3 linked regions of the Rhinolophus ferrumequinum genome follow. The protein of the gene in region 2 binds, or shares a complex with, the protein of the main gene of each other region. Links are inferred from orthologs where the notes say so. Each region holds a gene or a part of one and is shown on either strand. Other genes may lie near its edges. The genes, in order: GPS2, TBL1XR1 and CORO2A.

What was found.
Region 1: TBL1XR1 (region 2) and GPS2 share a complex: the UniProt entries of both Homo sapiens proteins name them as parts of the N-Cor repressor complex. The link is inferred for Rhinolophus ferrumequinum from reciprocal best matches to the Homo sapiens genes TBL1XR1 and GPS2.
Region 3: TBL1XR1 (region 2) and CORO2A share a complex: the UniProt entries of both Homo sapiens proteins name them as parts of the N-Cor repressor complex. The link is inferred for Rhinolophus ferrumequinum from reciprocal best matches to the Homo sapiens genes TBL1XR1 and CORO2A.

What each region holds. Positions count from the first base shown.
Region 1 is NC_046304.1:11,526,239-11,536,584, reverse strand, and holds GPS2 (G protein pathway suppressor 2), read right to left. Parts: upstream 4,951-10,346; 5' UTR 4,612-4,950; coding exon 4,518-4,611; intron 4,152-4,517; coding exon 4,042-4,151; intron 3,963-4,041; coding exon 3,850-3,962; intron 3,720-3,849; coding exon 3,640-3,719; intron 3,549-3,639; coding exon 3,460-3,548; intron 3,272-3,459; coding exon 3,118-3,271; intron 2,992-3,117; coding exon 2,902-2,991; intron 2,812-2,901; coding exon 2,732-2,811; intron 2,645-2,731; coding exon 2,549-2,644; intron 2,376-2,548; coding exon 2,292-2,375; 3' UTR 1,654-2,291; downstream 1-1,653. Other genes in the region: EIF5A (eukaryotic translation initiation factor 5A-1), read left to right, coding at 581-685, 886-1,017, 1,105-1,167; NEURL4 (neuralized-like protein 4), read right to left, coding at 5,713-5,917, 6,474-6,639, 6,718-6,830, 6,977-7,121, 7,269-7,376, 7,470-7,557, 7,683-7,862, 8,204-8,362 and 5 more. UniProt on the Homo sapiens protein: Key regulator of inflammation, lipid metabolism and mitochondrion homeostasis that acts by inhibiting the activity of the ubiquitin-conjugating enzyme UBE2N/Ubc13, thereby inhibiting 'Lys-63'-linked ubiquitination.
Region 2 is NC_046285.1:66,367,220-66,377,300, reverse strand, and holds the start of TBL1XR1 (F-box-like/WD repeat-containing protein TBL1XR1), read right to left. Parts: upstream 4,579-10,081; 5' UTR 4,326-4,578; intron 1-4,325. UniProt on the Homo sapiens protein: F-box-like protein involved in the recruitment of the ubiquitin/19S proteasome complex to nuclear receptor-regulated transcription units. Plays an essential role in transcription activation mediated by nuclear receptors.
Region 3 is NC_046295.1:54,547,446-54,558,336, forward strand, and holds the start of CORO2A (coronin-2A), read right to left. Parts: upstream 4,647-10,891; 5' UTR 4,534-4,646; intron 1-4,533. Other genes in the region: TBC1D2 (TBC1 domain family member 2A), read right to left, coding at 9,920-10,160, 10,513-10,634.

The sequences.
Region 1 (10,346 bases), on a different chromosome or scaffold from region 2:
GATTTTATTCCCTCATCAGTGTTTCTATCTTCTGTTGGCTTGGCATTCATTCTAGGTTATCCCGTCATGTCTTAGATCCTTCTGTGTTCTTCTGGTTTCCTTGTTTCCTAATTGCTTAGTTCTTTCTGGTCTCCCCCAAGTCATTTTTTTTTTATTTTCAGCTCTCTTCCTTTCTCAGTCCTTCCTGTTTTCTCAGCTCTTTGCTTTCTACTTTCTTTACTTCCCAAGTTTTCAGCCTTTTATGCTGTTGTCCAGAAAACTCTTCTAAACTTTTATCTAGACTCCTCCTATTCCTTTAGGCTCTTAGCCTCGTATTTGTCAATGTAAGTAACTGACTGCTCCAAGCCTGGCCTAGTTTCCCTTGTGTTACCAACCCCAATCTCAGTGGTGACCTTTTGGCCTTCAGTTCTTTTAGAGGCTTTAGTATTTCTTTCTTGACTTCATGGTTCATTTCCGACTTCCCTACTCTTTGCCCATACAATGTAGTTTGATTTCCCTTACCAGCAGGCACAGCTTGAGCCTTTATCTCCTCCGTTCTAGTTTGGTTGGGTTTCTCTTTTGATGTGATGCATACACACAGGTCCACCTGGTTGGTATTGACATCTTTACTGGGAAGAAATATGAAGATATCTGTCCATCAACTCATAATATGGATGTTCCCAACATCAAAAGGAATGATTTCCAGGTATGTAGATGGTCTGAGTAGAGATGGGTTAGTGGTTGGGTGGGGGGTGGTAAGGGCAATACAGATTGACCAGAAGAGCTTGTGCTGCGAAACGAGGGAAATGGCAGGAGAGGGTATTTGGTGTTAGTAGTTTGCCACCCCAGTTTGTCTATCAGACCTCTTATCCTCAACCTTCAGCTTCCTTCCCTATCTGCCCCCAGCTGATTGGCATCCAGGATGGGTATCTATCACTGCTCCAGGATAGCGGCGAAGTGCGAGAGGACCTTCGTCTGCCTGAGGGAGACCTTGGCAAGGAGATTGAGCAGAAGTATGACTGTGGAGAGGAGATCCTGGTATATAGCCCCCCACTCGTGCCCAGCTTTTCTCTTTGTGCTTCTCTGAGCTCTCAGACTTCTGACTCTCTTCATTTGTTCCCCCAGATTACGGTGCTGTCTGCCATGACAGAGGAGGCAGCTGTTGCAATCAAGGCTATGGCAAAATAACTGGCTCCCAGGTGAGTGTGACAAACTCCCCTCGGCCTCCTCCACACACTTGTTGTCCCCATCAGAGTTGCTTTAGTTTTAATTCTTCTAGGCTGACTTTCTGGCCCCAGCATTGTTCTTACCCTTCTTCCTGTTGAAGGTGTTTTCCTGTCTTACCTGGTTTCTTTCTTCTACCCAGGGTGGCGGTGGTGGCAGCAGTGATCCTGGCGCCTGCAGAGGCCCCCTGCCCCAGCCTGGCCCACCTCTGGCGGGGCACTTGGCTGGACTTCTATACGATTTATTTGACGTTTTATTTTGGTTTTCCCCACCCCTTCAATCTGTCGGGGAGCCCCTGCCCTTCACCCTGCTCCCTTGGCCAGGAGTGAGCCATGGCCTCGGTGAAGCTGCCCTCCTCTTCTCCCCTCGCACTACAGCCCTGGTAGGGGAGAAGGGGTGGGTGCTGCTTGTGGTTTAGTATTTTTTTTTTTTTTTTTTTTTTTTTTTTTAAATTCTGGAATCAGAGAGCTGTGGATTCTGGCAAATGGTCCTTGTGCCCTTCCCCTATTCATCCTCAGTCTGGTCCCTTGTTCCCCATAGTCCTTTATCCCAAGCACCACCCCCACAGACTGGGGACCAGCCCCCTCCCCGCCTATGTCTCTCCCCAAATCCCTTTGGCTGGGGAGAGAAGAGGAGGAGAGGGGAGGGGACCTGCTCCCTCCTCAGGCATCTGGGAGGGCCCTGCCCCTATGGGCATCACCCTTTCCTGTGGGCTCTCTCCCCGACACATTTGTTAAAATCAAACCTGAATAAAACTACAAGTTTAATATGAAGCCCCAACTTGGATGCTTCTTTGAATAAATGGGTATTTGCTGACTTAAAAGGTAAATTTGAAAACCAGAAATAGATTATAGATTGAATTGTGTCGCTGAGTTCATCACAGCCCACTGTCCCACTGATTTATAATGGACTTGCTAGCCACCCCCACCATCCAAGCAGCCCTGGCCTAGTCCAGGTGGGAGGCAACACAAACAAGCAGCCAAAGGTAATGGCAGGTAGATTTTATTGGCCTGGGACTACTACAGCACACTGGGGACCTTCGCCCATGGTGGGGGGTAGGGAGTGAGGCTGATGATAAAATTTGATGGTCACTTGTGGTAGAATCGCGTGTTCTGGCTGTGCTGGATGAAAGGGAGCCGAGGGCCCGGTTGGCTGGTAGCTGCAAAGCTTGACTGGTGGTGGTGGAAGAAGGGTTTTGTCAGTGTGCATGCTCTTCCCTTCCTTACACCCTTAGAATCACCCCAAAGGAAGAAGGGGGAAAAAACAGGACTGGGCCACCTGTCCTACCCAATCCTGTTTTCTCCCATAGTGTAAGGATTGTGACAGGTATGATTACCATCCTTACCTTTCCTGCTGGTTGCATCTGCACGGGGAGCTGGGGGGAGGCAAGGAGCCCAGGGGCTGGATGCAGAGCTTGGGGATGCATGGGGCGCAGGGAGGACTGCAGAGAACAGAATCAAGACCTGAGGCAGCCTGGGGCTCCCCTTAGCATAGCCCTTCCCCTGACCTCCCAAGGCTCCACACTCACTGAGTCAGAGAAGCCAGTTTGCTGGTTAGCATGTTCCATTTGCTTTTGTAAGGACAGAGCACTGCCAGGCTGGAGGAACCCTAAGTAGGGAAGAAGGGTGTGTGAAATGAGTTAGTGAATGGGGAAGGGAGGACCCATGGAACTAGGTCCCCTGCATGGGGTATAATCACCTGTCTGAGTGGGCTGAAAGTGGCTGTGCACGGCATAGGGCTGTGGCTGTGGCTGAGACAGGTACTGTACTGCAGGAAACGCTGACGGTGCTGAGAAAGGCAGGAGGCACAGCCATTAATACCTCCTTTTAGTCTGTTTACAACAAATACTACTCCCTCTGGGCCTTGAGGAAAGTGTCTCCCCGCCCTCCCACCCCACCTTTTTCCACCACTCACCTCTGAGCTGCTGACTAGGACTATAGGCGGGTTGAGTGGGTCCATAGTGAGGTGGGGGCTGAGCAGTCCCATAGGCACCGCCTGGGCTGCCTTGGAATTGCCCATGCTCTGGGGTCCCTGCGAAAGCAGCTGCTGAGCCCACATAGTGCCGGGTCTAAAGAGGGAGGATGACACCTTACTATCTGGAAACTCCTTGAAAGTAGCAACTGATTTGTGTATGCTCCATTTTTCTCTATACAGTTAAATCTATGTTACACTCATGACTTGAATATTGGTTTAGTAAGGGTGCTTGGGTCTGGGTGGAAGTAGTAGTGGAAAAATGGGCCAGACACCCAATCCTACTCTTACTGTAAGCACTTGGGGTCCGAACATCTGTTTGGCTCTGTCAGCTGCCATGAGGGTACCTGGGCGAGTGTGTCCTCCAGGGCTCCCTAGAGAGGAAGAGGGGCTTCGTGATGCTGAAATGGGAGTCTACAAGTCCTAGGAGGGCCCATTCGGACCAGTGGTTTCTTTAATCCTCACCTTGCATACTGAGGAGATGAGTTCCTGTGTGAACAGTCAGGCCCTGTGGGTATGCAGCTGACGTCAGAGTGGTCAGGTCACTGGAGTGAAAGAAAGACCGGTCAAAATCAAGGAGAAGTGCCCCCTCTTTTGCCATTAAACACTGATCTTTTGTTACGTGATCCCAGTTATACTTTGCCCCCAATTTTAATTTTAGCTCTTAAATCCCACCTCTGCTCCTTTCGCCTCCGTTTTTCTTCCTCATGTAAAACTTTCTTGAGCTGCAGGAAAAGCTGGTGCTTCTCTTCCTGTAGGGCCAAAAGCTTCTCTTGCAACTTCAGGATCTGAGAAAGAAGGGGAGAGGAGATAAAGGCAGGAGAGCCAAAGGAAGAAAGAACTGGGAGAAATCAAGGGACTACATACTTGTTCTTTGGTCTCCTCTAGTGACATTCTCTCCTCCATCTCCTTTTTCTTCCTTCTCTCCTGCTCTTCTTTCATCTTCTGTTCCATCATCTTGTCCACCTCTTCTTCCTCTGGAGAAGAGTTAGGCAAAATGGTGAAGTGGCGGGGTGGTTAAAATAATTAGAACGTTAGGGATTGAAGACCAGCGAAAACTGGTTATCCCAGTGCTCCTTTCTGCTCTTGAGAGGGCAGGCCTCTCCCACCACTGCAATAGGGTAAAGGGAGAGGGACGTTTCATTAGGTGCTCTCCAAGGTCCTTCCCAGCTGAAGCGTTTTACAGTTTAGAAACGGCGATTTAAACTCCCACCACAACAGGACTGTTGCACCCCTCCTTTAGCTTCGGCCGCCGGTGTACTGGTCTGCCCGGGGATGGGGGTCAGCCCTGGGATAGCGGTGCCGCCCTGGGCGACTGTCCTCCCGCTTTGGCCCCAACTCACCTTGCCGCTTGCGCTCCCGCTCCATCATGATGTGCCGGTGCAACGCCCTTGCCATGGCGTTGGAAAGCTTGGGGCGCTCCAGGAGCGCAGGCATGGTGCTGCTGGGGACGCTTGAACTGTGGGTGCCCGGCTCTGCTGCAGACTGCCAGACCTCGGACCAGGCCTGCGAGAAGGCGGGCGCTCAGGGTGGATCGCGCCGGGTCCGCGAAGGCGGAAGCCCGCTCGCCGCCCCGATCACGTGTCCGGCGCCTGCCGCCCGGCCTGGCCCGTTCACCCGCCTCGGCTTCGGCGCGTACGCGCGTGCGGGCGGGGCAGGGGTCCCAGGTCTCGACACTCGCGTCCTCTCCCCGGCAGCCCGGGCGCCAGCACCTTCCTACCCGCCTTCTCTACGCTTTCTCCGCGGCCTACTGCGCACTTTGGCCAATGCGTCACATCCGGCAACTGGAATGAATCCTTCCGGGGTCAGAGCTGTAGCCCTCGCGGATTGGGCGGGGAGGAAAAGCCGGAAGCGAAGCGGACGGGTGCCTGTGACGTCCAAAGCCCTCCGCTACGCCGGCCCCGCGCCGTCCACCCCCGGGCGCTGCTTCCTGGCCTGGCGCCAGCCGCGAGACGCTCAGAGCTAGCAGTGGTTACCCCGTGGGTCCCTGACTGGGCCGGTCGGGGACGATCCCCGAGGGGCGCGTGAGAGACAGGCGAGGCGGGTGCTTTGAGACCGTGTTTATTGGCTCCTTAGAAATCAGAGTCATAACAACTGTACAGAGGGCCCCACCTTCCCCGCTCCCGCCCGGTGGCTCCCGCCCGGTGGCTCCTGGAAAAAGCAGCTTCATGGGGGGCACAGGGAGACTCCTCTGGGATTCACAGTAATGAGGAACAAAACGGAAATAAATTAAGTGATACAGGGGAGGGAGTCATAGGGAGTCGTGTTCCCCAAATCAGTGCACGAGGAGGGGTTACCCAGGGCCTGGAGCCGGGCTCCTCACAAGCTCCCTCACCTCAGAGAGTGTTCAAGGGCCCTGGATGTGGAGGTGTGCTCCACTCCCATCTAAATCTCAGAGTCTGCCTACATACTCTTGTGCATCCGCCAGACTGAGCACCGTGCATGCCGTGGGTCACTGGAATGAGGTGAAGGCAGTCATCACTCAAGAGTCCATGGGCCCGTGGCCCAACTGTGCTTGTAGTAGTGAGGTCTCACCCTTCATTCTACCCGTACCAGCAGGGCATAGAGGAGTGTGGCCCCCTTCTCCTTGGTTACCCATTCAAGTTCGGCTAGGCTGAAGTGAGGGTCAGGAGGTTCTCTGAGGGCAGCAGAAGGAGGGCCAGGGGTATAGGAGCCAGGGCGCACACACACCTGGAATGCCACCTGGGCCTGGTGTGTCCGCTGGGATTTGGGGTCCCGGAATCTGTCAGGCAAGAAGTAGAAATAGGGCAGTGAGGCCTCTGGCCTGTCACGTCTTCCCCTTGCTAACTGCAACCACTGCACTAGCCTCCCTGTTCCTAGGAATCACTCCCACCTTGTAGGGAGTTGGCTCTAGCTCTTCTCTCTGTTCCAAATGGTTCTCCTCCCAATGCCGCCTCAGCTAACTCCGTCACCTCCTTCTCCAGTCTGCTCAAATCTCACCTTGATGTCTACCCTGACTACCCTATTTAATAGACCTGCTCCAACTGCACATTTGATCCATTTACCCCACTCCACTTTTTCTGTTTCCATAATATCACTTGTCACCTTTAAATATACTGAATATTACGCATAAACATTCTACAGAGAAAAATGTAAGTTATACAAGAGCAAGGTTCCCTTTTTTGTTCACTGATAGCATGAAAGAAGTGGCATTTATTCAAGGAATGTGTGAGGAAAGGGATGGGCTGGAAACTGAGGAACTAGCAAAACCAGGTAGGGAAAGGGAAGGCAAATCATGGAGACCCAAGTGGCCCTGGGGCCCCCTCCCGTGTACTCACTGCACTTTGGATGCCAGGGTCTCAGCCCCAGCATATTGGAGGGAGGGAGAAAGCAGCACTGCAGGGGGCTGCTCCTCCCGAGAAGGTGCGCAGTTCTCACCAGGCTCCTCAAACCCTCCCGCAGGGTCTCCCTTCAAGGGCCGGCAGCTCAGGATGGAGGCAGTGCCTGTGAGGAGAGCGGGGTCAGGGTAGGCCTGCTGCAGCCCACAGGCCCAGCCTGCCTTGACTGCTGGAGCTACGGTACCTGCTCCCAGCTCTCCTCGGTCCAGCACCCTCCGGACAGCTGCCACGTTGCTCCCATGATACGCCATGTGCCACTTCTTGGTTAGTGTCCCAGCCTCCAGGCGGGGATTCACCCTAGGTGGGCAGAAAGGACAAAGGTCACGGGCTCCCCAAGGTCATCCCCTAGATAAAAGTTCTGTCACTTCTTCCACGCACCCTCTTGGGACCCTCCTTTCTCAAGAACAGTAAGGGAGACACACATGACTCTGTCCCATCCATACCTGAGGTTGAACCTGCACCAGCCAAAGGGCAGGGCGTATTCCCGGGGAGGCTCCCCACGGCGCCTGTGGGCCTCATCCCCTCGCAGCTTCCGGCAAGACTCACAGTAGCACAGGCTACGTTTCGGTGGAGGCATGAAATAATCCTCTGTGGGAGAATGAGTGGTACTTGGTGCTGTGGCTCCCACCCTGCATCTCAACCACACAGCCTTCTTCCAACTGGTCCCCAGGAATCTGGGCATGGCCCTACACTGGGCCAGGGAATGAGGCAAGTTCTGGGGGGCTGGGAACTCACCAGGAAGCAGCAGCAGTTCTTGGAAACGGGAGCAAAGAGCATGGTACTCGCAACTCTTGAGAGGGCTGGCAGCAGGCGGTGGACCCCAACACACACTCTCCTTGATCCCTGAAGGAACAGAGGGGGCACAGGTGACCAGAAATGGGGCTAGAAGTATGCGGTGGGGTGGGGTAGGATCCTGGTCCCTTTGGACTGGCTCACCATCCACCATGTCGGCTTTCTCCATGTCCCCTTGGGTTCCAACACTCTTCCCACTGGCAGCCCCTGGTTCAGGGTTCACAATTGTCACCTGCAGAAAAGAGGGGTGGTCAGCCTCCAGGGCCTGCTGAGCCCCTCCTTGGCCCACAGACCTCCGCTTTACTCGGACAGCCATCTCCCAGGCACCCCCTCCTCCCCACCTCCATGGCCACTAACCTGCTCACACTGCCCATAGAGGTCCACAAGCGCATGGCAGGGCTGGGGGACATCTGGCACAGCCACCCCCTGGTCCATTCCATTGACAAGGAGGTGCAGTCCCCCAGAGCTGTCTAGCCGCAGTCCCAGGATGGTGCCTTCAGGACATGTGTCCAAATTTGGCCCAAACTTCTCACAGATCTAGGAGGAAAAAAGACCTACTGTCTTCCCAGAGATCAGACTCCCACCAGAAGCAGCCACCCCCGCCCTTCACCCTGTTTCAGGTCACCAGTCCCTGGGCTTTGCTTTCATACTTGCCTACTGCCTGGGCCCCACCCACTGCTTCAATGACCTAGACTTCGCCTCCTCTTTCCTACCACTGCAACGTTCTCAACGGCAGGGCGATAAGAGGCAGTAAGCCCGACTGTCCAGGTAATGACACTCACAGCCTCGTGTGAGCCCACCCACTACAGGGCCCCTTTATACCTGTGATCCTACCTCCAGAGCTCAGGACCCCGCCCGTCTCTCTGCTCCCTACCCACCTTGAGGCCATTGTGGAAGACCCCATGGCCCCGGAGCAGCCAGGCTGCCCGTTTGAGGGCACAGGCAGAAGCAGGGAAGTTGAGCCTCTCAGGTGGGCAGGTGATGACTCCCAGGACAAGGGAAGATGTCCACTGCCGGTTCAGGAAATCTATCCGCACCTGGGGAAGAAGGCAACTATTCCCCAGTCATGGCCTCTTAGGAAGAGGCCACCCACCCAGCAGACCTATGCTCCTCACCCCAGCCAGGGAGGGAAGATGACACCTCCCAGAGTGTGGCCTGGGATGCTGCCCCTTCTGATGCTTGAAGGCCTGGAAACTGCAAATTCAGTTGTTTCTTCCCCTCTTTCAGCCTTGGTTTTGTTGTTGACTCTGTAAGGATTCTTGTCCCTAGTGACTTCCTTCCCCTGGCGAACACTAACATCTCTTAACTTGCAGTAGAAAGACCCCTCCTCTGGAAAGCCCTCCCTGCGCCCACATATAGGACCTGGTGGCTTCCCTGGACTCCCCCAGCTCTCCCCTCCTGTTTCCCTCGCTACAGTCATCAGGTGGGCGCTTACTGGTTACCGACCAGCAACTCTCACCACAAAGTATGAACAAAAGCCCAGGAAGCTCATCCAAGGGGCTTGCCTTCCACTATGTCCTCAACCTGGAAAAGCCATGCTCCAAGAGGATTGGCCCTGGGTCACCTGAGCGAATTGCTGGGGATAAGGAGGTGAGGCCCACCTGGACCAGAAGCTGGGGCACTAGGGGCTGGCTGATGACAACAATGCCCTGATTGTAGCTGGCCACCCGTGTAGCTGTACGGTTCCCATTGGACAAGAGGATATTCTTCCCATGGTTTTCCAGGAACTCGAGGGCTGTAGGCATAATAGTCACTTGATCTTGGCCCTGGTATGGAGGAGAGACTGAGCTACTGGGTTTGCCCAGGTGAGGCCCAAGTCATCCAAGTGGAGTGGCAAGCTCACACAGAGCTTGCACATAAGCTTCTGCCCATCCAGCACAGGATCAGAGAACCCCAAAACGACCTGGTGGCCAATGGCCCACCCACCACTCATCCATGTGCCCAGAGGGCCCTGCCGCAGCCTCTTACTCCCAGGCCATGCTCCTCGCCCTCGTCGTCGTCCTCCTCGCCCTCACTTCCGGTGTCTGAACTGGGGGATGGAGGCTGGGTGCCTTCTGGCTCCTCCAGCCTCGTGGAGCTAACAATAGACACACTCCGAACTGGCCCGTACAGATCCAACACAGCCCACACATTCTGGGGGCACAAAAGACCGAGGAAGTTGATGAGTGGAAGACCTCAACCTCACTCCCAGAACCCAAGGCAAGTCTTGGATCTACCTTGGCAATGCCAGTGGCTGCAGGCCCCATATCCTCTCCATCTACCAGAATGTGCATCGTGTCATCTGCCCCCCGCCGAATGCCCACACGGCTCCCCACCTAGAACCAAGATGAGACAAGGACAGATGCTCAGCACACCTCTCCCTGCCACTCCCACTCCCAACCCTATCCCTTGTCCCTGGATCCAAGTGCTTCACCCCTAGCCTCTCTAGGTTCCGGCCATAGTTCATCCTCTGGAGCTGCCCGTCACGCCTCACTTCACAGCTGGACACCATCCAGGTGGTCTTAGTCCGGAGCTCGGGCAGGGAGGGAGGCAGCCCAGGGCCACTGACTGCTCCAGGCCCCATCTCCCCTGGCGCTAGTGTGGTCAGCCCTAGCCGGAGGGAACCTGCCCACTTCTCATCCAGCTCTTCTACTTTCACCTGTGTGAGAAAGAAAATATTAGCTGGCATCAGCTGGGGACGGGAGGGTAGGAGGCAGTCTGGCCCTGTTGTGAAGGGCCCGGCAGCCTCCTTTGTTACATCTCCACAGCCCACCTCAAAGACTTCCTCAGTCTTGAGCTCCTTGGTGCTGAAGACGAGGCCATGTGCATAACCAGCTGCACGCACCGCCCTCGCGCCATCCTCCTCCAGAGTGACGTTCTTGCCGCAAGTACTGTGGAATCGGTGAGCCACACCAGCCACTGTGGAAAGATAGCGTCAAAGGTACGGGTAGGATTGGGGCAACAAGCTTCAGGTAGGATATAGAGCAAAGCTTTCAGGTGAAACAGGAAGTTAACATAGAGGTCCCATCTGCCATTTCTCTT
Region 2 (10,081 bases):
CAAAAGTAAATAAATTAAGCCAAATTTATCTCAAATATTTTATCTAGGAACCGAGAAAACAAAGCTGCCAAATTCTTTCTATGACATTATTCCCCCTCTTAAAGCAAGTAAAATGTAATACAAAGAAACAAACTTGAAATCCAAACCCATCATCATCCCAAACACCTTACATTTCCATGATGCTTGCTGTATGTCAAGTACTATTCTCAGCACCTTAAACATACAATTCTCTCAATCCTCACACTCCACAAAGTCAACTGTCCCCATGACACAGAGGAGGAAACTGAGACACAGCAGGAGTTACTCCCCTGAGGTCACACATACCACCCTATTTCCCCAAAAATAAGACCTAGCCAGACAATCAGCTCTATTGCACCTTTTGGAGCAAAATTTAATATAAGACCTGGTATTATATTATATTATAAAGACCGGGCCTTATATTAATTTTTGCTCCAGAAGACGCATTCGAGTTGATCGTCCCGCTAGGTCTTATTTTCAGGGAAACACAGTAGTAAGGAATGGAGCCTGAGTTGGAACCCAGGCAATCTGCCTCAAGGACCCCAGACGGAATCACTATGCTACACAAAACATGATTTTTCTTATACAAGTTTTCAAGAATATCTACTTGGAGGATAGTTGGGCATACTCTTATTTGCTTTACCTTCTTATTTTATTTCTGTGGGCAGTACTTGGAGAGGCTACTTCACCTCTTTCAATCTTAAGGTAAAAAATATAGCAGTTGACAAGACTGCATCTAATTAAACACTTGTAACGGAGTTTAAGCACACTGATGTTTGCATCACATGAATTTCATTTATCCATGCAATCACTTGACCCGGTTAGCAGAGACACCCAACTTCTGAATTATAAACTTGATTAAAAACACTCGTTTTTGCAAGCATATCTACAGACAAGACTGACAAAACAGCTGGAAAATTTTGGCACTGCAAAAGTCATCTACAAATTTGGACTAGGGCTCACACAGACCTAAGTTTGAATTGCAGTGCATCATTTGGTCATTTGGTGGCCTTGGACAAGTGAATTAACTTTTCTGCATGGCTCTGTGTCATCACGCACAGAAAGAACCCAATACCACCCACCTCATAGGATTAGTCTGAGGTATAAATGACGCAGAAAGTAACTCACACCTTTCCTAGCTCCCCAGCCCAAGCAGAGTCCCTTTCTTCTGGCTCTTTGTAACAGGCCAACTCATTGTACTCTTATGGAGTCCAATACCAGAGGTGGTGAATAAACCTCTCCACCATCATCAGCTCTCAGTTGTTTGTTTGTTTGTTTGTCTGTCTGAATTCAAGTTTCTGTTGGTGATAGAGCAGAAGATACCACTATGGTGGTCTCCAAACTGGACCATGCTCTTCCCAATTCTTTATTATACAGCCCTGGGAGCCTAGCCCTTCTGTACTATGGGAATGCATAAATGTCTCCATGTTAGCTGCTTTCTTTTTCTGCATTTCTATTTTTTTTGCTTTCTATTTTTTGCATATAGTGACTTACACTATATGTTATTTGTGAAGTTAAACTCACATGAACTAGAAAAATACCAAGCCCCAAACAGTGCTAATATTTCTGCCATCTCTGTCCCTTGACTACTACCATTCACATTCCTCTCATTTTATATAAACAACACAGAAACTGAACAAACCTAACAAATTATTTCTACTAACTTCATCCAATGTGTCAAATCAGAAATTCTTTGTAGTAATACTGCTGTAGCAAATTCCTTTTCTGTAGGATTCCTTTGTCAAGCTACTCACTTGACAAGACTGTACTTATATATCATTGCAATATACGAACAGATATATTTATTCAACAGGTTGTCTCCTTCAAAAGGTCCATTAGCCACATCTCTTTTTATCAGTAACCCCTATGTTTACATTAAGCTTCTGTCTTTTCTGCCTCTTAGCTTCAAAAGCTCCCAGTACACAGGAAGCAGTTACTTCTTGTTCTCTTGGTAGGTATGTATCATGGTAATCAGGATAACCTTAATTAGATGTTGAGAACACAAGTAACAAAAAGATTCCTGGACACCTGTGAAGTTATTAAAATGTTTAAGATTTAAGGCTTCTTTTAAGCAACCAATGCAAAAATACAACCTCCACAAGGAGTCACTCCATTTACTGCGAGTCTCCACCATATTAACAACCAAAGTTGGTGTCTGTTGGAAGAAAAACGTCCTCCATAAGATGGTGAGCTTTACAACAATTTTTAAGCCGTTTACAAGTCCCTTACTTAAGTTCCTTAATAGTAGGAAAAACTTTTTCCATGTAAATATGTTTTCACCCCTCTATATAGTTTAGTATTTTGTCCTATAGATCTGATTCTAACTACTCATATGGCAAAAAACAGTATTTATTTATGGATTTAATGGTTGTTATTACATACATAAATAGTGCATGATAAAAGAACTGGGAAAAAATCATATTCCAAACAAACAGGAAAACCTCAATTTAAGAGCAAAAAGTTTAAACAATGTATCACATGCCTAACCACACTCTCAGGCATATTTTCTATCTACCACCCCTCCTACACAGGTAAATGCTAACTATTTCTAGAATTCTCAATGATAATTTCTGAGGCTTGCTTGCCATGAACTCCCATGACACAACCCAACATACACACACCGTTTTCATGGAGACAAAGCAGCTCTATTTCCCTTGACCATGAACTTATTAAAATGGTGAGAACATACAGTCCCAGGAAGTTAGGATTACTAAAACACACTAATACAGCATGGGCCTGGTTTAACAAAAATGAAAATAAACCACACTGGAAAAGCCAAAGAGTCACTCACTGTATCTTCAATGTGTAACCAGGATATTTATTACAACTTGTTTTAGGTAAGTAGATAAAAACACCACCAGGGCCTCATATTTTCCAATCTGACAAAGGAGTCTTTAGGAAAAAAGAGGGAGGAAGATGATTACTTAATTACATGGGGGGAGGGGTAAACCCTTTAACTACAAATAACCCAATTCACCCACCATATTTTATTAACAAGCTTGTTTAGATCAACATAATGTGCTTGTTTGGAAAACAAGAAAGCCAATAGTAAACTTCCCCAAGTCAACTGTAAATCACAGAGGTACTAAAACTGTTCACCTTGGTGCCTGCACAGTCCAAGGTTTTAAGTAAATTCCAGGCACTGTGGAAATCCAGTTTTTAACTAGGTTCCGACCCCTGTCATTTATAATCACCAAATTATTTTCGAAATCTTATAACCAAACAACAGGAGCATTTTTAAAGAGTTCTTACAAGCCAAATTTTACACGAAACACACCATTTTCGCAACCTAAATTTAATCTCGGTTGCCACTGCAAAGTGATGCCTGTTTCAGCAAATTAGGAACTTCCAAAAATACTGAACATGTTAACACATGCATGGCTTCCCTCGAGCTGCCACTTAAGACTAATATTTCACTTAAATAAAAGTCTGCTTCTGTTCAAAAAATGACATCGGTTGCAAAGAGGAAGTTACCGAGAAACCACCCTCACAACGTGGCCTTTACACTGTCAGAAAATAATGTGACTCTGCCACCCAAAACTTACCAGGAAGCTGGCAATAACTTTGCCAATTCTACACTTCTGAACCCAACTTCAAAGTGACTCTATCAAATACCTCCTTAGGACGATAAAAAGCACTAAGTTACAAATAAACACGTCCTGAAGTGCGGCCCCGCGCCCCTCCCCCGCTCGGGTCCCGCGGCCCCAACAGCCGCCCGCAGCCCCCCGCACGCCAGCTAGGGTCGCCGCGCCTGGGCCCGGGACGCGCCCAAGGAGGGGAGCAGATTTCCATTGCTGCCTGAGGTTTAACAAAATAACATGCACGGAAAAGATCCCTCTCCTCTGCTAAAAATAGGCTATAAAGGAGTCGGCCTCATGATGGCTCCTTGATTCAATTTGCTGCAAATTCTTTCCTGAAAGCCTTCCCCCACATACACACACACAAAAAGGGGGTGTAAATGCACGAAGGGTGGAAGAGGGGGAGAAGGCCGAGGTGCACATTTTCGGGGACAACATAATAAGGGTAAGGATCCCCAAGACCAGGAAAGGGTAGGGATTGGGCAGGCACGTGAGCATTTCAAAGAAGCCTGAGAGAGGAAAAGGGGGATGGGGCACCCTAAATGCCTTCCCTGCCTTCCCCTCCCCCACCCAAACCCCAGCTCCCTAAAGGGCCAAGTTGAAAAATGCATGTTCCACTTGCGCCCATCCCCCCCACGGCCCGGCGCCCACCGGCCGCCCGCCTCCGCCCGCGCCCCCAGCCCGGGACCGCGGTCGCCCCCACCCCAGGGTCCGGCCCCCAGCGCTTACCTGGAAACGGTGGCCTCCGACGCCGCTCCCCCCTCCCAGGAATGGAGGCACAAGGAAATTCCCCTCCTCGCCGCCGCCGCCGCCGCCTCCAACCACCCCCAAAATAACCCCTCCGGGGGGTGAGAGGCAATTATAACCCCGGCGAGCGGAGGGCGCGGGGGATGGGCGCCGGGCGGGCGGGGGCGGGGAGCGCGGCGCGGGTCCCCAGGTGGCGAGCGGAGGTGCTCCCGCCGAGGGGGGAGGGGCGGGGGCGCACGCGGCCGGCGGCGGGGGGAGGCGGCGCGCGGGGGAAGGGCGCGAGCGGGGAGAGGAATTGAGGCAGAAGGTAAAAGCTGTTACTAAGGGAAAGAGCCAAACGGTTCGGAGCAGCCAACGGCTCAGACACTCAACACTGGGGAGAGAGGAATGGGGACCAGCCAGGCACAAATGAGCTCGCGAGGCCCGCGGCAGCGGCGGCCGCGCAGCAAAACAAACCCGAGCGGCCTGCGCCGGGCGGGCGCGCGGGGGAGGGGCCCGCGGGGGAGGGGCGCCGCGGACGCGGGGAGGAGGCGGCGGCGCGGGGGGGTGCCTCCGCCGGCCTCGCTCCTCTCCCTCCTTCCCTCCCGCCCGCCCGCCGCGGCGGTGCTGGGGGCTGGGCGTGTGCGGCGCAGTCTTTTAAAAATAAAGAAAAACCCGCGGGCGCTCCGAGGCGCCTCGCGGGTACTGTCCGCCCTGCCCCCACCGCCGCGCGCGGCTGGGTGGCTTGGGTGGGTGTGGGCTGCGCCGCCCGAGGCCCAGTGGGGGCGGGGAGGCTCGCGCCGTAGCCAATGTGGCAACGCTGGTTAAGTTTGCTGGGGTGGCCGGCAGGGCTCCAGCGTGTTGGGGGGCAGCCTGTCCCCGCCGGCATCCGGGCTGCGCGGCTGAGCACACACACTCGGTGGGCATGTGCGTGGAGCGCGATGCAGGCATCATATGGACATTTGTTTGTGAAAAGATGTGCACACACCTTTGTGTGCATAAATACATATGTTTGTCGGAAGCGTACCTGCAAAGGTGCTTTATCTGTAAATAAGCGATTTTCAAAATGTAATCCAGAGCAGGGACTCTGTAGGGAAAACACGCACACAAGAAATGGTTTTTGATACTAAACACAAAGCTGTAATTGAAGTGTTTATGCTCAAATGTACTGTGAATCAAACATATGGTGGTATTTATCGTCTGGTGGGTCTGTTTGAAAGGTTTGGTCGATCAGCTCTCATTTCACAAAAATAATGTAACTGATTACTAAATATATACCTCTACCGCAGCATCGACAGAAGTTTATCCACTTTGTGTACTTTTTGCATGTGTGTAGCATATCAAGGCAGTTTATAAAGTATAACTTAGATGAGTGATGTGACAATGTGACTGAGGAAGAGAGTGCAGCCGGTTGTTTTTTAAAAGGGAGGCACCTCGGTTTTTAAGACAAATGTGTTCATCTTTCTAAGGCCTTCAGAAAGCAGGGATTGGGGGGTCCTTTTAAAAAGACCTTTGTACAACCCTAAGACATGAAAAGCAGCTACCCTTTTAAGATATGACCTGAAAGAAACCTGTTGTTATTTTCAGTTACTACTGTCTCCAAAGTAAAATAACATTTTTTGCAGCCTTTTTAGGGTGAAGGATTCTGTTTTCATACTTCCACCACAATATTTGAAAATAGGTTTAGTCATTATTTTAAAGCAATAATAGTCTTTTCCTCTCAACATCAGAGACCTAATTTTACACACCAAAAAAAAAAAAAAAATTCATTGGAAGTAACTTTTATGCTTCTAGACTCCCGTGCCCTAATAAGCTCAGTGATTAGACCAGTGCTTTTTTCGCCAAGGTCAACGACTCTCCCCTGATTAGCCCTTGCTTGGGGGAGAAGGGGAGCAGCCAGAGGCTCTCCTGACCAGCGGTGAGGGTGGGGAAAGGAGTGGGCAGAATAAACCATCAGAGGAAAGGGGGTGGGATTGGAAAATCCGTCCCAACCACCATAAAGAGAGTTCAAAGCCTCTCAGTGGATTGTCCTTAGAGCTATTTTTCATATATGAAAGAGGGAATGTTAGATTAAACAATGTCACCCGATGGGAATTTAGATAACTGCAGGTTTCCAAAACACTGTGTTGAGTGTACAGGGAAACAGCACAAGGAAAGCAAGTTTTGCATTTCAGTAAGATTCTAAAAATGAGGCTTATTTACTCCACAATTAGCACCTTTGCAAAGACTTCCAGAAGCGATGAGAATATAGTAGCTTCCTATTATTTTATTTTTTAAAAGAGTTGATTAATGACATATGTAGGTTACTAAACATAATCCTCTCTTCAATTAAGTGAACTGTCTCAGTAAAATTAGGGTTCATTATCTGAGCCACCCAGTGAAAGCAATCTATTGGCCTACATTGTTTTTGAAGTTTCACATTGTGGCACCACGCATGGGTCTTCTCCAGGCAGCAGCTACTATAAAATTAAACCACTCTTCCAGTGAATGTGGACTTCCCAACTACAGGAGTCATAATAGGGTCATCTTCAAACCTGGGATCCCCCACACACACTATTCTCCCTGAAAATGACTTCCATCTTTCCCTCTACAAGGATGGGCCCACCCTTCCTCAGGTTCTTAAAGTCTAGGGCTTCCAGCCTGGAATTCTTATACCCTACGCTAAGCTGCCTCCTTTCCTAACAGAAGTTGTTTTTATCACAATGCTAGTAATAATAACCTACTGTGTTTCCCCGAAAATAAGACCCAGCCAGCCAGTCAGCTCTAAGTCTTTTGGAGCAAAAATTAATGTAAAACCGGCTCTTATCTTATATAAGACTTGGTCTTATATTAATTTTTGCTCCAAAAGACGCATTAGAGCTGATGGTCCGGCTAGGTCTTATTTTCGGGGAAGCACGGTATGTATTTGTTTACATCCTTGTGATTTACAAGGCCTTTCTGTGCACAAATTACTTCATTTGAAAATTATGATAAAAATTATCAAAGGTGGGGACCTGTCCCATCACCTCCAGTAAAAGGGCACCTCACCCACCATGCTCACTGAAGAGAAACTTTAAGTCCCTTGGACCAAAAAAAAAGCACTCAATGTGGAAAAGCCTTGATTCTTCCAGCGGAGGGATTTTAAATGAGATCGTATTTTGATCACTTTCATTTTCAATATTCTGGAACCTATCGGAAATGACAGTGTGGCTACAACGTGAAATCCTCAGATAAATGAGCCACCATATAAAGGTGGCATGTATTGTTACCTCACCCTTCAGTCATCCTAATATATCCAGTGTACAAGATGAGAGGCCTCCCCAAAATTCAAGCAATAATTAGGCACAAGAGGGAGGTAGGGACAAAGAAGTAACTATTGTACTAATTTTCAGTGCTTTGTCATAATCTAAAAGCTGCCCTTCTACTTTGAATATAAGTGGTAATATGTTTCTAAAAAGGAGACATTACTAAGAAATTCTTGAGCAAAGAGGCACATTATTAAGAAAGCTCTCTTGAACTTTCTAGCTAATTAGTCAACAAAGAAAAACCTCATACCAGTAACTGTTACCAGAAGTTACATATATATTGTAAAATAACTAAACAAATCTTGACTTGTTTTATTTCAATAATATTACACCCAGGGGTGTGGTATGGCAAGATAGCCTACACCTTTGCAACTTTCATCACCCAGGAAATAGAACATTTCAAAGTCAAGGTGGCTTAGTCCTGGGCCCACAGGATGTCATTCCTATATATATTTTTAAAGCCACCATGATGTTTCAAGTTGTTTGCATTAACAGATCTATGTTTTTAAGGTGTTCAAAATGATCTTCACAGCATGAAAAAGATTTTTGATAACAAAAATATTATCCTGGCACTATACTATAACCTTTTATGTTCTTACCCAGAAACTCAGTGGCTTTATGTCTGTAGCATTTACCCCCAAGCGTCTTGCTGATACCCTGTGATATGTCTCTGTTTCATTTTGACTCTGCTTGTGCAATTCTTTGTCTGTGGTTCTTTCAGCTATCAGCTTTTGCCATCCAGACTGATGCACATCTTGGCCACACATCTCAGGATCTCAGCACACAAGCTCCTTTTCTCCATCTGTGCTTAGCATGCGACTTGTGACCTTCCCTCATCAGTATGAACCTTGTCACAGTTTTCCATGACTCTGTGACCCGATTTCATTAGAACCATGAACTTTATTTGGGAGTCTTCATTTAAATTACAAAAGAAACACACAACCATTTTACAAGTATTTATGCCTCTCAGATAATGGAAATAGCAGGTTGTATCCTGCCTCTGTGATTCAGTCAGAACAGAAAAGCAGCCACACACAGAGCATATAGCTCTACTTACTTATACTGACCAGCCATGTGCTTCCTCAGGGCAGCACTCAAGGCCTTGCATTATGTTGATGGTTTTGCATTCGTTCATTCGACAAACATTTACTGAATGCTTACTGTGCCAGGCACTGTTCAAGAAGCTATTTACAGTGAACCAAACAGAGCTTCCACTATCATGGAATTTACATTCCAGTCCCATTTCAGGTGGGGGTTGGGAGGGCAGTCAGACTTTCAAAAAAATAACATGTCTGTATTAGAATATAGTTTCACTTCTATAGCAAAGGCTTAAACAAAAGGCTTAGAAAATATATGAAAAAGGCTTAAACAAGATAAAAAATTTACTCTCTTATGTGGCCATTCAAATGTAAGCACTCTAGAGCTGATAAGATATCAAGAACTCAGATTTCTCTAGTGTCTCAACACCCATCTTCCAGCTGGTGGTCTACGATGGCTTTTCTAGGCTCTTGCCATGACATCCAGATTACAGCCACTGGGCTAGAAAGGAGGAGAAATTGAGGGCTTATACCTGCTGTTTCAGGACTTGTCCTGGCATTTGCACTCATCACTTCCAGTCATACTCCATTGGCCAGAACTTGGGCATCTGACCACACCTAACTGCTAACAAGTCAGGTAAACGATATGACATACAATAAGGCAGAGAGGGGATTGAAAATGTATGTTATTTTAGATAGGGTGTTTAGAGAAGGCTGCTCAGTTTAGGTAACGCGTGTGAGCAGAAAACTAAGTGAAGTGAATGGGTGAGTGTGCAATTATCAGAGGAAGGAGCATTCCAGGCACAGGGAATGTCAAGCACAAAGGAACAAAGGTAAAAGCAAGTGTGCTGTATTCTAGGAATAAAAATGATGCCAGTTGATTGGCATGAAGTAAACAAAGGAGAGTCAGGAGAGGGAGCCAGGGACCAAATGTGAAGGGCCTTTTTCTTCTTGTGAGATGGAAAGTCACTGGAAGATTTTGAAAGCAGAGAAGTGACGAGTTCTGACTTTTGTTTTAAGAAGGACTACTCTGCTGTGCAGAGGACCAAGTGCAACAGTGCAGCAGTACAAGGAGAATGACTAGTCAGGGGACAGTGCAGAAATCCCAAGGAAAAGATAGTACCATGGGTGATGGTGGCAGGAGCTGGCTAGAAGGAGCTAAACTCTGTCTACGTTTTAAACAATGATTGCAAGATTTTATACCAAACAAGTGGAAGAATGGAGTTGCCATTTGTGGAGATGAAAAATTATTTTTATGAGGGAAAAATCAAGAGTTTTATTTTAGAATTTGATGTGCCTATTAGACATCTCATGAAGATATTGAATGGGCAGCTAGATATATAGTTTGGTGTTCAGAGGAAGTATTGGAGCTGGAGAATTTAGGGTCTCATCAGAAATGAAATTTGAAATCATAGGCCTAGGTATAATTGACTAGAGA
Region 3 (10,891 bases), on a different chromosome or scaffold from region 2:
TAATAATAGGAAAAAGACTGAACGTAAATACACCAAAGTACTTACATTGATTAGCTGAGATGAAACGAGAAGATGTGGGTAATTTATTTTCTGTTTTCCTGTCTTTTTCTAAATTCTCCATGATCAAGTATTTGTAACAGAAAGAACAAATATGCTTTCTTTGTAAATTAATTTTATTGAGATATAATTTATATGCAATATAATAAAACCAGTGTAAAAAATGGAATAATAGTAATATCTACCCTATAGGTTGTTTTGAGGATTGAATGAGTTAACGTATGCTTTAGATGGTGCCTAGAGGATAAGAAGTGCTATTGTTTGCTAAATCAATAAGCCCAAGACCAGCCTGGCTTTCTCTTCCTCTACCTGCTCACCTGGACTGGACCTCCCACCTCGTCCCAGCACCAAGCTCCCTCCATCCCCGGTCCCCATGTTCACTGCCCGGGTCCAACCTCATCACCCCAGGCCTGGACTACTTCCACAACCTTCTCTTTGTACGCCAGAGGAAACACACCAACATTCAAATCTGGCTATGCCCCTGCCCTGTTCAAAAGCCTTCCACGACTCTCCACTGCCCTGGACTAAAAGCCTTAGCTCCTACGTAAGACATTGTTTCAGCAAGTCACTTAACCTCTCTGTACCTTTTTGTTTTCTTAACTGAAAAAGAGGAATAAAAATCGTATCTCCCTCACAAACTTACAGGATTCCATGTTGGCTGGGCGGTGTATACAATCTGACTCATGGTCTCTCTCACCTGTCTCCTCTTCCCTCTCCCGTCGTCGTCACTCTGTCCTAGCCTGCTCTTCTTGAACTTCCCAGGCCTGTTCCTACCTCAGGGCTTTTGCACCGCCTCTTCCCTCCACCCAGACGGCTCTTTCCCCAGAAATCAGCCCAGCTCACTTGTTCACCTCCTTCAAGCCTTTGCCCAAAGTCACCTTCTCAATGATTCTCTGACCCCCTTATTTAAAACTGCAACCCCCTCCCTTCTATTCCCCCCACACATCAGAAATATACTCCTATTTATTTGCTCCATTTCAGTTATCACCATCTATTTTACTTATTGTTCACCTTTCTTCCCTATTAGATTGTAAGCTCCTTTATAGCAGATTTTTTGGTCCTTTTTTTTTTTCACTGTCAAGACCCTCCCCCTCAAAATACCTAGCACAATGTAGGTGCTTAATAAGTGAGTGGTTGAGTGACTAAATGAACAATGTAAAGCACTTAGGACAGAATAAGGCAGGTGGTAAGTACTCAATAAATGTTAGCTATTATTATTATTTTTTAATTCTCAATTATTGAATTTTCAAGGTGAGGCTCCCACGACCTTTTTCCTTGACTTCTCCAATCTCACAATCACAGTTTCCTAGCCCCCACCACACCCTGCCAATCTCTCAATTATGGTAAGGAACACACTGCTTTTTAATTATCTTTTTCCATTTAGGCTCAGTCAAATGAAATTGCCATTTCTTGTAAGTCAAAAGCAGCCAGATATTGGCCATTTCACATAGTTTAACCTAATATGTTTCCCATGGCAGCCTGCAGGCCCCCAGGATCTCAAGGCCTAGTACACAGTAAGTGCCCAATATGTTTTTGTCCACAGTGATGAAGTCATGTACTCCTGGCCCTTCATACTAGGTGGAATTGCAAAGCACCTTCTATCTGTCTGAAGGAGGCAAGGCACAGATTGTAGACTTCAAATAATAAATAGAGGATCGTGCTGAATTATTTTCCAGTCCTCCTGAAAAAGTCTCTGTCTCCATATGGTAGAGAAAATAAAAACAAAAACATGCTACGCTCTAAAATAATCCAGGTTCTGGCCATTTGGAAATAACAAAGGTCAAAGGCTGAACAAAATCTCTTTTCAGGGGAAAAAGGCTAGCTGCCTGCTTCTAAGGGGATTCATTTGGTGATGGTAGAGGGACGCTAGAACATTCTTTGATTATCTTTGTGTTCACTGCTCCTTCCAATAAAGACTTCAGTTAAAAGAAGTTTGCTAAGTCTAGAACATGGGTTGTCAGAATTGAAAAAAATCCAGCAATCACTGAAATTACCCCATGTCACAGATGGGGAAAGTGAGGTACAGAAAGGGCAAGGGAGTCATCTATGGTCGCAGAGTGGGGCAGAGGAAGAGTTCATCCTGGAATCTATGTCTGCTGACTTTAGTCTCAGGGCCTTTCTACTATGGGCCACACTACTATGCTTTAGTGCCACTGTTTTTTTTAAGCTGTAATTTTCACATGAAATGTTTATTAATCCTCAGATAAAACACCAAGAGCTGCTTCACTATAAGACAACTTCTTATAAATAATAGCACTACTCTCTTTCTCTCACTTCCTTATGGGAAAGTACTCAAAGTTAGAAGGCTAGGGGCAAAGGACAGTTAAGATAATTTTTGTGGACTTTTGTCACGAGATGCCAGGTTGCACTACAAAATTAAATGCCACTGGAGAATCCCTACAGCCTTGCCAGCATAGAGGTTTATCCTTTTAATTTATTTTTGCTAATTTTATAGGAATAAATACAGACCACTTTCATTTACTATATGGTATGTGTTTTCAAACACACATACACACACACACACGTCTTAGAATCAGGATCCCTGGGCTTGGTTGCTGGTTTGCTTTATGACCTTTGACAAGTCACATCCCCTTTAGAGATAGGGGATGCCTGTCTATAAAATGAGGAGGTTGGATGAGATGATTTCTTAAGATCCCTTTCAGCTTGGACATTCCATAATTCCATGGCACATTTTAAAATTATTAGCATGGGATGACTTTTCAATTACCAGAATCTGCCCTGCCCCTAAACCACGCCAAAATGGCTTGGACTAGCCGAGCAGAAAAACAGGGCCCAGATAATACACACGTAGAGATGACAGGAGACTTAGGAAGTACTTAAGCCTGTGCATCGGAGCTCTGCTCGAGTGACAGCACATATACTTAGTCTGCTTTTATGAGGGGATAATACCACTCATTTGTGGTCTAGTTCCAAGTTCTGTGCAGCTCCACCATGGCCAAAAGACAAGGTCATGGACAGTCTACTTCAGCGCTTAGGATCCCAGACTTGCGGCCAAAGGTAGCTCACCCTGAGCAAGTGCTCATCTAGCCTCTGCTTGCATATCTCTGTTGACACAGAGCTCACTACCTGCCCAGGTGGCCCCGATTTTCTTTTGGCTTTAAGAAAGCTCCAGGGAGAGGGGCAGGTCATGAAGGGGACGAGAGACCGGAAGGCCCAGACTTCGTTCTCAGTCAGGGCCTGCAACAGGAGAAGGACTCCTCTGGCTCCTCCTCACTTGAGACCTGTAAGGCAGCTGCTAAGCCAAAGGTGCACAGGAAGTGCAGGAGGCACAGGGACACATTCTGGTCCTGATGCAAGGGGTTCTGAACAAGCCCCAGGCTGATTACTGCCCACTCGGGGGCAGACATCCAAGCTCCCCCATCCTGCCTTTGCTCCCTTTTGCTCCAGCAGGAGAAACAGTGCTAGGCCTGGAGGTGTTCAGCTTGGAGGTGAGATTTATGGGACCAGGTGATTGCCTCTGGGTGGCGGAGGAGGGGTCAGATGTCTGTGTGCCCAGAGCAGGGCCCGCGGATTCCAGCTGTTTACAGCTAATGAGATCCCCATCATAAGGGGTGTGCAATGGGGCAGTAAGACCTTCCAGAAGGAATGCTACTGAGGGGCTGGCCCAGATGCCAGGGGTCTTTATCCAGAGAGCAGGAAGCCATAGTCCCTCAGACATGTGCGCTGTTCCAGACCCACCCCAACTCAGACACACAGTGCTTTTGGCACTGGGGTCGCCTCTGGGATCCACACATAGACGTGAGCCAGCCCTATCACACCCGCTGGGGCACAGAGCTAGGTGCCAGCACCTGAAATTTAAGGGACTTCCCGTACCATTCCCTAAATCCAGGTGCCTGCATGGGTCTGGTCCAGGCAAGTCTGAGGCTGAGGGCCCCACCACTTTCACCTCAGGGCTCCCCCAGCTCCAGAACGGGAGGCCGACTTGGCGGGCAGACTCTGACGGTCTCACCCTGCATGCCCAAGCTGGCTCCATAGAGACCTGGAGATGTCCCCTGTCCTGTTTCTAGGGCCAGCAGGTCACCCAGCTAAGAGGGGGAGAGTCCCAACACGGGTCCCGCGGGACACTCAGGCCACAAGGGGGCCTGTCGCGACCGACTCGCCACACCCAGGGTGAGCGGCCCTTACTGCATGCGGGAGGGGTGGGCGGTGCAGATTGTGCCCATCCGGGCCCCTGCCCTCGGGAACATGGACCTTGGGGCGGCCCCTCCCCGCAGCCCAGCGAGGAAGGGGCCCACTATTGCACCCTCCATCCCAATGAGGAAACTGAGGCCTGGAGAACAGTGCTTTGTGCAAGGTCACGCGTAGGGGCTAGAAGCCAGGTCCCCCGCGCTCTGCTGGGTCCCCCGCGGCGCGCCCTGCCCTAGCATCCCTCCTGGGGTGCTACAGCCAGGAGGCGCAGCACGCACACAGCGCGCAGACCGAGAAGGCACGGCTCGTGGCGCGGGGCCGCCCTACCTTGATGACGGCCGCGCAGGTGGCGGTGGCGGCGGTGGTGTCCGGCTCCGGCTGCTGCTCCGCGCTCCTCGCCGCCCGCCGAGTCCCGGTGCACAGAGCCGCCGCCTCCTCCCCCCCCCCGCAGCCAGGCGGGCGGGGCCTGTGGGCGGGGCAGGGGCCCGCACAAGCCCCGCCCGCGCGCCCCGCGGGGGCCACCCCTCCTTCCCCCATCCACCCCTCCTTTTCCTACCCTGCTCCTAGTCCACCCCTACCCTGCTCCTTGTCCTCGAGGGCTGGTCTCCCGACGCGCACACTGGCACAGAACAGGCGCGCACACCGGTCCGCGCACGCCGCAGTGATTGGGGCGGGCTCCCCAGCGACCAGGCTGAGTGAGGCTGGGGACAGTCAGACCCGCCTGGCTTTTCGTCCCACCGCTCCCTCTCTGCGTGACACAGGACAAGGGACTCGATCCCCAGGAGCCTCCCTTTCCACTTTGGTGAAATGGAAACAGTAACCGTGTCTGTCTCAGAGAGCTGCTTGAGAATTAGATGAGACGATCGAATTTACCCGCCCAGTAAATAAAATGCGCACACAGAGCCTGCCACAGAGAAGCTCTGGGCAAACCCGGGAGGGAGCAAAAGGGCAAGGAGGGTCGCTGGAGTATCAGGAGGACTCCCTTCCGTCTCCCGGTAGCCAGGAGGGGGCGCTACTGCCCAGCCTCGCGGGCTTGGGGTCCTGAGCCTCCCAGGCAATGGGGAGGAGATGGGGAGGCCCCGCCTTTTAGTAACACCACTACCTAACACTTACTGAGCCAGGCCCTGTTCTAGGCACCTTGACTGCGTTACCTCACTCAACCGTCACACAAGCCTATGAGGTTATACTATTACTCATTTTACACATAAGGGAGCTGAGGCACAGGGAGGTTAAGTACCTCACTCAGGGTCACAGAGCTAATAATTCAACCCTAGGCAGTGTGGCTCCCAAACCCAATTTTTTTTTTTTAAATTGAAGTTTAATGGGGTGACAATGGTTAGTATAGTTACACAGGTTTCAAGTGTACCAAGCCCAATCTTACAGCCACTCCAAACTAAGAGCTTTGTTTTGTACAGTGGTGTATTTAATGTGCCAGGGCCTAGAACTACCTGGCATATAGTAGGCACTCAATATGTATTTGTTGAGTGAATAACAGTGCGTACTACGTATCACTTTACAGACATTATTTCATTTAATCCTAGTAACTCTTTTACTTAGCCACTATTATTACCCCCACTTTACAGATGAAATAATTGAGGCTTACAAGTCGCTAAGTACTTGGGGGCTCTTGATTATCACCTTAGAACAGCCAGGGCCAAAGCCTGTGATTCAGTGTTCACTGGGCCATTCCTCTGCCCAGAGCTGGATGGGCTCCCTGACTACTGCCCAGAGCCCAGTCCCTCAGTCTGGCCTGCAAAGCCTCCACTCTGCAGCCCTGACCCAGGCTTCTTGGAGCTGGATTGCTCAGTGGGCTGGCTGAAGGCACGCTTCCAGTATCTGCATGAGTTGGATATTTGATGTTTCAAAAAAGCATATGGAAAATCAGAACATTGTGGGCGTTCCTTATACTTATGGTTCAATATTGCCTTTGTTTTTTTATTACACCTAGCAGGTGGGCACCTTTCCAACGCTAAGACATCTGAATGCTTAATTCACCTAGGGCTTGGGCAGTATCTTGGGTGTATCCCCCACCCCCTTGCACTCTTACATCCCTGTCTTTGCTGACACTCTGTTCCGCCAGGAATTCTCTTCCTGCTATCTCTGGCTAAGCTGACTCACCCTTCCTTCCAGGATTGGCACCAACACCCCTCCCCAGGAAGGCTTCCCAATGCCCTGTGGGTGTGCCCTGCCATTCTGCATCTTCCTGTCCCGTGCCATGATGGTAGGTGTCTGTATTTGGGGTGAGACGGGTTTAATAGGGATCTCTGGGGGCCATGCGCATATGGACCGAAGGACAGAGGGGAGGCCATTGGAAGCCTCTGTAATAGACACAACCTGGGACTCTTCCTGAAGATGCTGTATTTGTGTGTGTGTGGGGGGGGTCCTCATTTTGCTGCCCCTTCTCTTCCCCTAACCTTGGTCCATTTGAGGAAGGCTACTCCCTGACCATTCTCTGCATTGCACACATGGGGAAACTGAGGCCAGAGTGGTGATGACTTGCATAGGGCCCCTTAGCTAGAAAACCACATAATAGGTCTGGTCCCAAAGTTGGGGCCACCCGCCAGTACCTTCTACTGGGCCTTATTGCTGATTGGGATGGGCCGGGACCAACACTTTCCTTTCCCAGGTGTCAACATAGCCCAGCTTTGTTTAATCTACTGTGTGGGTAAGTGCCTTGTGGGGGACCAGAGTGTGTGTGTGTGAGGGAGGGAGGGAGGGGGAGGGGGGAGAGACAGAGAGAGAGAGATAGAGAGAGAGAGAGAGAGAGAGAGAGAGAGATATCTCCACCTACATGCCCAACTGGAGCTTTCTGTACAACATGGCCCTGTGCCCATGGGAGAGTGAGCTGAGAAAGACTAGGGGTAGAAGCAACTGGGAGGTAAGGTTCTGAGTGTGGGGGAAAGTAGCCCTGAACACAGGCAGTCTGTAGAAGTGAGTGTACCCCTCCCACCTTGGGGTGGAGGTGAGGGGTCTCCCAAAGTGTCCTCCAGGCCCTTCCTCCTCCTTTGAGGAGTTACTTTATTCTTGGAAATTTTCCCCCTGGGTAACTCCTTCCCCCTCCCCTGTAGAATGGAGTGTGGACCTCAGCTTGCTGGGGGCCTAGTGTCTGGAGAGAGATGCTCTGAGCAAGAGGTCCCATCCCCTGGGGTAGGAAGGGGGGCTGTGAGGGATCAGATCCTCCAGCTCTGGAAAGCAGCGGCCCCTGGGGATGGGGGCGACAGCTGTGGTGCAGGGCCAGGAACCTGACACCAGGCATAGGCCCCAAACACCCTTCAGGAAGAGCAGGGGGAGGGTGGGCGGTTTCCCTCGGAGCAGCAAGCAGCAGCCCCAGACCTTCTGGTGTGTGACTCCCTCCCCCCACCTGTCCCTGCTACATTCCTCCCATTTTCCTTTGCCTGGAGCTCTCCCCACAGACCCTACAACCACTCAGGCCATGGGCCAGGCCTGTCCTTTCCCCTGGGCCCTTGGGGGAGATTTTCTAGGTTCCAGACAAGGGGAGGTGAGCTGGGAGGAGCCCTCCCTGGTTTTGCAGTTAGGGCCTCTAAGCTTGAGTATGGCTTAACTTCTCAGGGGCTGTGTGAGTTGGGGCAAGTTAGTTAACCTCTCTGAGTCTTGTCCTCTTTATCTGTAAACTGAGCTTGGCCTGTAGTGGGCTAGTGCTCTAGGACAGGCAGTTCTCATTCCTGCCTCTGCCTCTAGCTCCCTCTTCAGGGATGGAGGAGGCCCCATCAAGTCAGTCCTCACTGTCCTGTGGTCCCCAACAGGCTTTGAGAGGGGCCCAGAACCAGTCCTTTTAAAAGGCTGCTCAGGCGATTCCACGGTGCAGCCACATAGGAACCAGGTTACACAGCACTGGGCCACCTGTAAAGCATCCCACAACCCCCAGTGGGGGAGCGAAGAGTGTAGGTATCCAGCTCTGGGCAGAGCTTCTCCTCTGATGTGTGTGTGGCAGGAATAAGAAATGGGGGGGAAGAGTGAAGAAACGTGCAGAGGAGGAAAAGGGCGAGGATGAGGGGGCCTGGGGAGGAAGGCAGAATGGAGGCGAGAATGGGGCAGAAGTTGGAGGGGAAGAGGAAGGAGAGAGGTGGGGAACGGGTAAGGAGGAGAGGGAGGGGGCCATCGATCTTGTCCGATCTGGGAGTTTTATTTTTGGCTGAGGTGGGAATTTGTTTTCCAAGGCTGGAATCTGAGGGGCCAGCTGTGTCTCCTGGAGCCTTGGCCTTTCGTAGGCTGCAGGGCCCTCCTGGTGATGTTTGCTTCATAAAAAGGCCGCTCACTGCTGTTCACTGTGCCTGGCATCGGCTCAGCACTGGTGTCATCTCCTCTCCCCTGTGGTGGCCCTTGTGGTTACAGCCTGTTGGGGGAGCAGCCAGGACTTCCCCCAGTCCACTCTCATACCACCATCATGCATGCTTCACACATACTGTTTGCTGGTGAAAGGGCCTCGGCAGATGAAAAAAGTTTAGCAAAAATGAGAAAGGTTGTCAAGCTCCAGTGTGGGGCATTCCCAGGAAACCTGGTGCCCTGGGGCCAGCCAGTAGCCCATGGGAATGTGGGACGAAAGGAACGCTGAGTGTCCCCTCCCCAGGGTCGTGGAGGGGCGCAGTGTGGGGGAACTGGGTGCCTGGTGTGCCACGTTCACACCTATGAGTGCCAGAGGGCCTGTCCCTGGTCTCCAGGGACAGGCACGGTCCCCTTCCCCAGCCCTGCACAGGAGCCTCACATCACAGGGGGGTTTCCATGTGGGAACGCCGCACCCCCCATCCTTCATACCAGATTGCTGAGCTCAAGGCTATACTGTGGCAGTCACAGGTTTGCTGAGAAATTAGCAGCCAAAACCACTGTGCAGCCGTGACTCCCTGCCTGGAGGGGGATGGCAGGAGCCTGTCTGCTGAGGAAGGGCCTGGAAGAGCCCAGAACTGACACTGAGTTCCTGCACACAGTGGGTGTGTGCCTAAGAGCCCGCTCTGACTTGGCGACAGGCTGCAGCCTGACCCTCGCACTGCCTTTTCCTCACTCTCCAATCACCATCAGAGAAGAGGTGACTCTTGTCCTAGCCTGCGAAGTTGGTGGTGGGCGGTCAGAAGGCTCTCTGTGCAACCCCAGGTTCCAGGTTCCTCTTGGTAGTAGGGCAGGGGTTGTCCTTGGGAACCCCACCCCCACCCCAATGGGCTGTGAGCACAGGTGCAAGGCTCAGGGAACAGGCCTGTCAGGAGACAGGAGCTGGGCCTGGAACACTGGCCCACCCAGCATCGGGGAGGCCCAGAAAAGACAGAAGCCCTGAATGCACAGGGTCCCAGCTCCTCAGGGAACCAGGAGGGGGACTGGCCCTGCAGAGACGCCCACAGAAACCGCAGCCAGGGATGTCCCAGGGCGGGAAGGCCCTGGCGGTGGGACGCCCTGGAACCCTGGGCTCACCCCGGAGCAGATGGTTACTGAGAACCTTGTAAGTTCCAAAGCCTGTGAACTAGTTCCTATACGTACAGTGTTTTATACAGATAAACTCAGAGCGTGTTCCAGGCTCCCTCTAAAGACAGCACTCTTGCTTGTCTGCGTGCTCACTTCTGAGGAGGAAGTGAGAAAGGGGAAGCATCCCTGGGTCTGTGCTCAGCAGGAGATAACCTAGCCAGTGGCGTCCCAGAGACAATGTTCTGATGGGGAGACTGAGGCCCAGACTGGAAGGTGCTTGCCCAGGGTCACATGGTGCCGGGGCTCAGAGGTGGCACCACTGTTCCACGGTCCTCGTCCTGCAGGCCTGGCAGTCGAGGGCGAACAAGGGCTTTGGGGCCACGTCAGGCCTCCCCCTCCCCCTCCCCCTCGTCCTCGCTGGTGCAGCCCTCAGGCAACACTGGGTCCACAGATGCCCGGGTCTCCAAGTACTGGGCCTTGAACTGCTCCAGCTCCCGCAGCTCAGCCTCCAGCCGCTCCCGGTAGGCTGCCCGCAGCTGCCACAGCTGTTTCATAGGAAAGGGGTTCATGTCATGGAAGGCGATGACCATCAGCTTCCTGGGGGGAGAGCACAGTCAGCCCAGAGCGGTGTCCCCTCCCCAGGCACGCCTGTGCTCATTCCACCCATGTGGCCGAAGTCCCTGGGCCCCGCCCTCAGCGAGCTCACCTTCCAGGGAGGAAATGGTGAAAAAGAAGACAGTTTCCACCTGAGTCACATATATTGAGACAGGAGAAAGTTTAGGGCTGGTTATGGGAGCTCTAAGCCACTAAGGAAAGGTTAGTCAGGGAAGGCTTCCGGGAGGGGGGACACATGAGCAGGTGTGTGGGTGATGGGAGGGGGCACGCATGGGTTCTCACCGGCTGTTGCAAATGGTCTTGGTGAAGAAACGCAAGTACTGGTAGATCTCCAGGCTGTCTCGCAGCCTCAGGATCTCTTCCTCGTTGTACTTGAAAATGGCCAAGGCATAGCGAAACACCACCTGGGGGGCAAAGTGGGCGCTCAGTTGGGGCAGGTAATCCCCAGAGGGAGGAGAACCCACACACCAGGCAGTGTGGAGTCCTTGGACAGGCTGCAGAGGTTGAAAGCTTGGGGGTGCCGTGTGTGCGGGGAGACCACAGGGGAGGGAGGGATTGGGTCTCCCATGGGGAGCACGGCTTGGAATCTGGGCACTGGGGCGAGTCCCAGCTCTACATGACTTGTCCTGAGACCCTGGGTGAGGGGTTGGCCCCCGGGGAC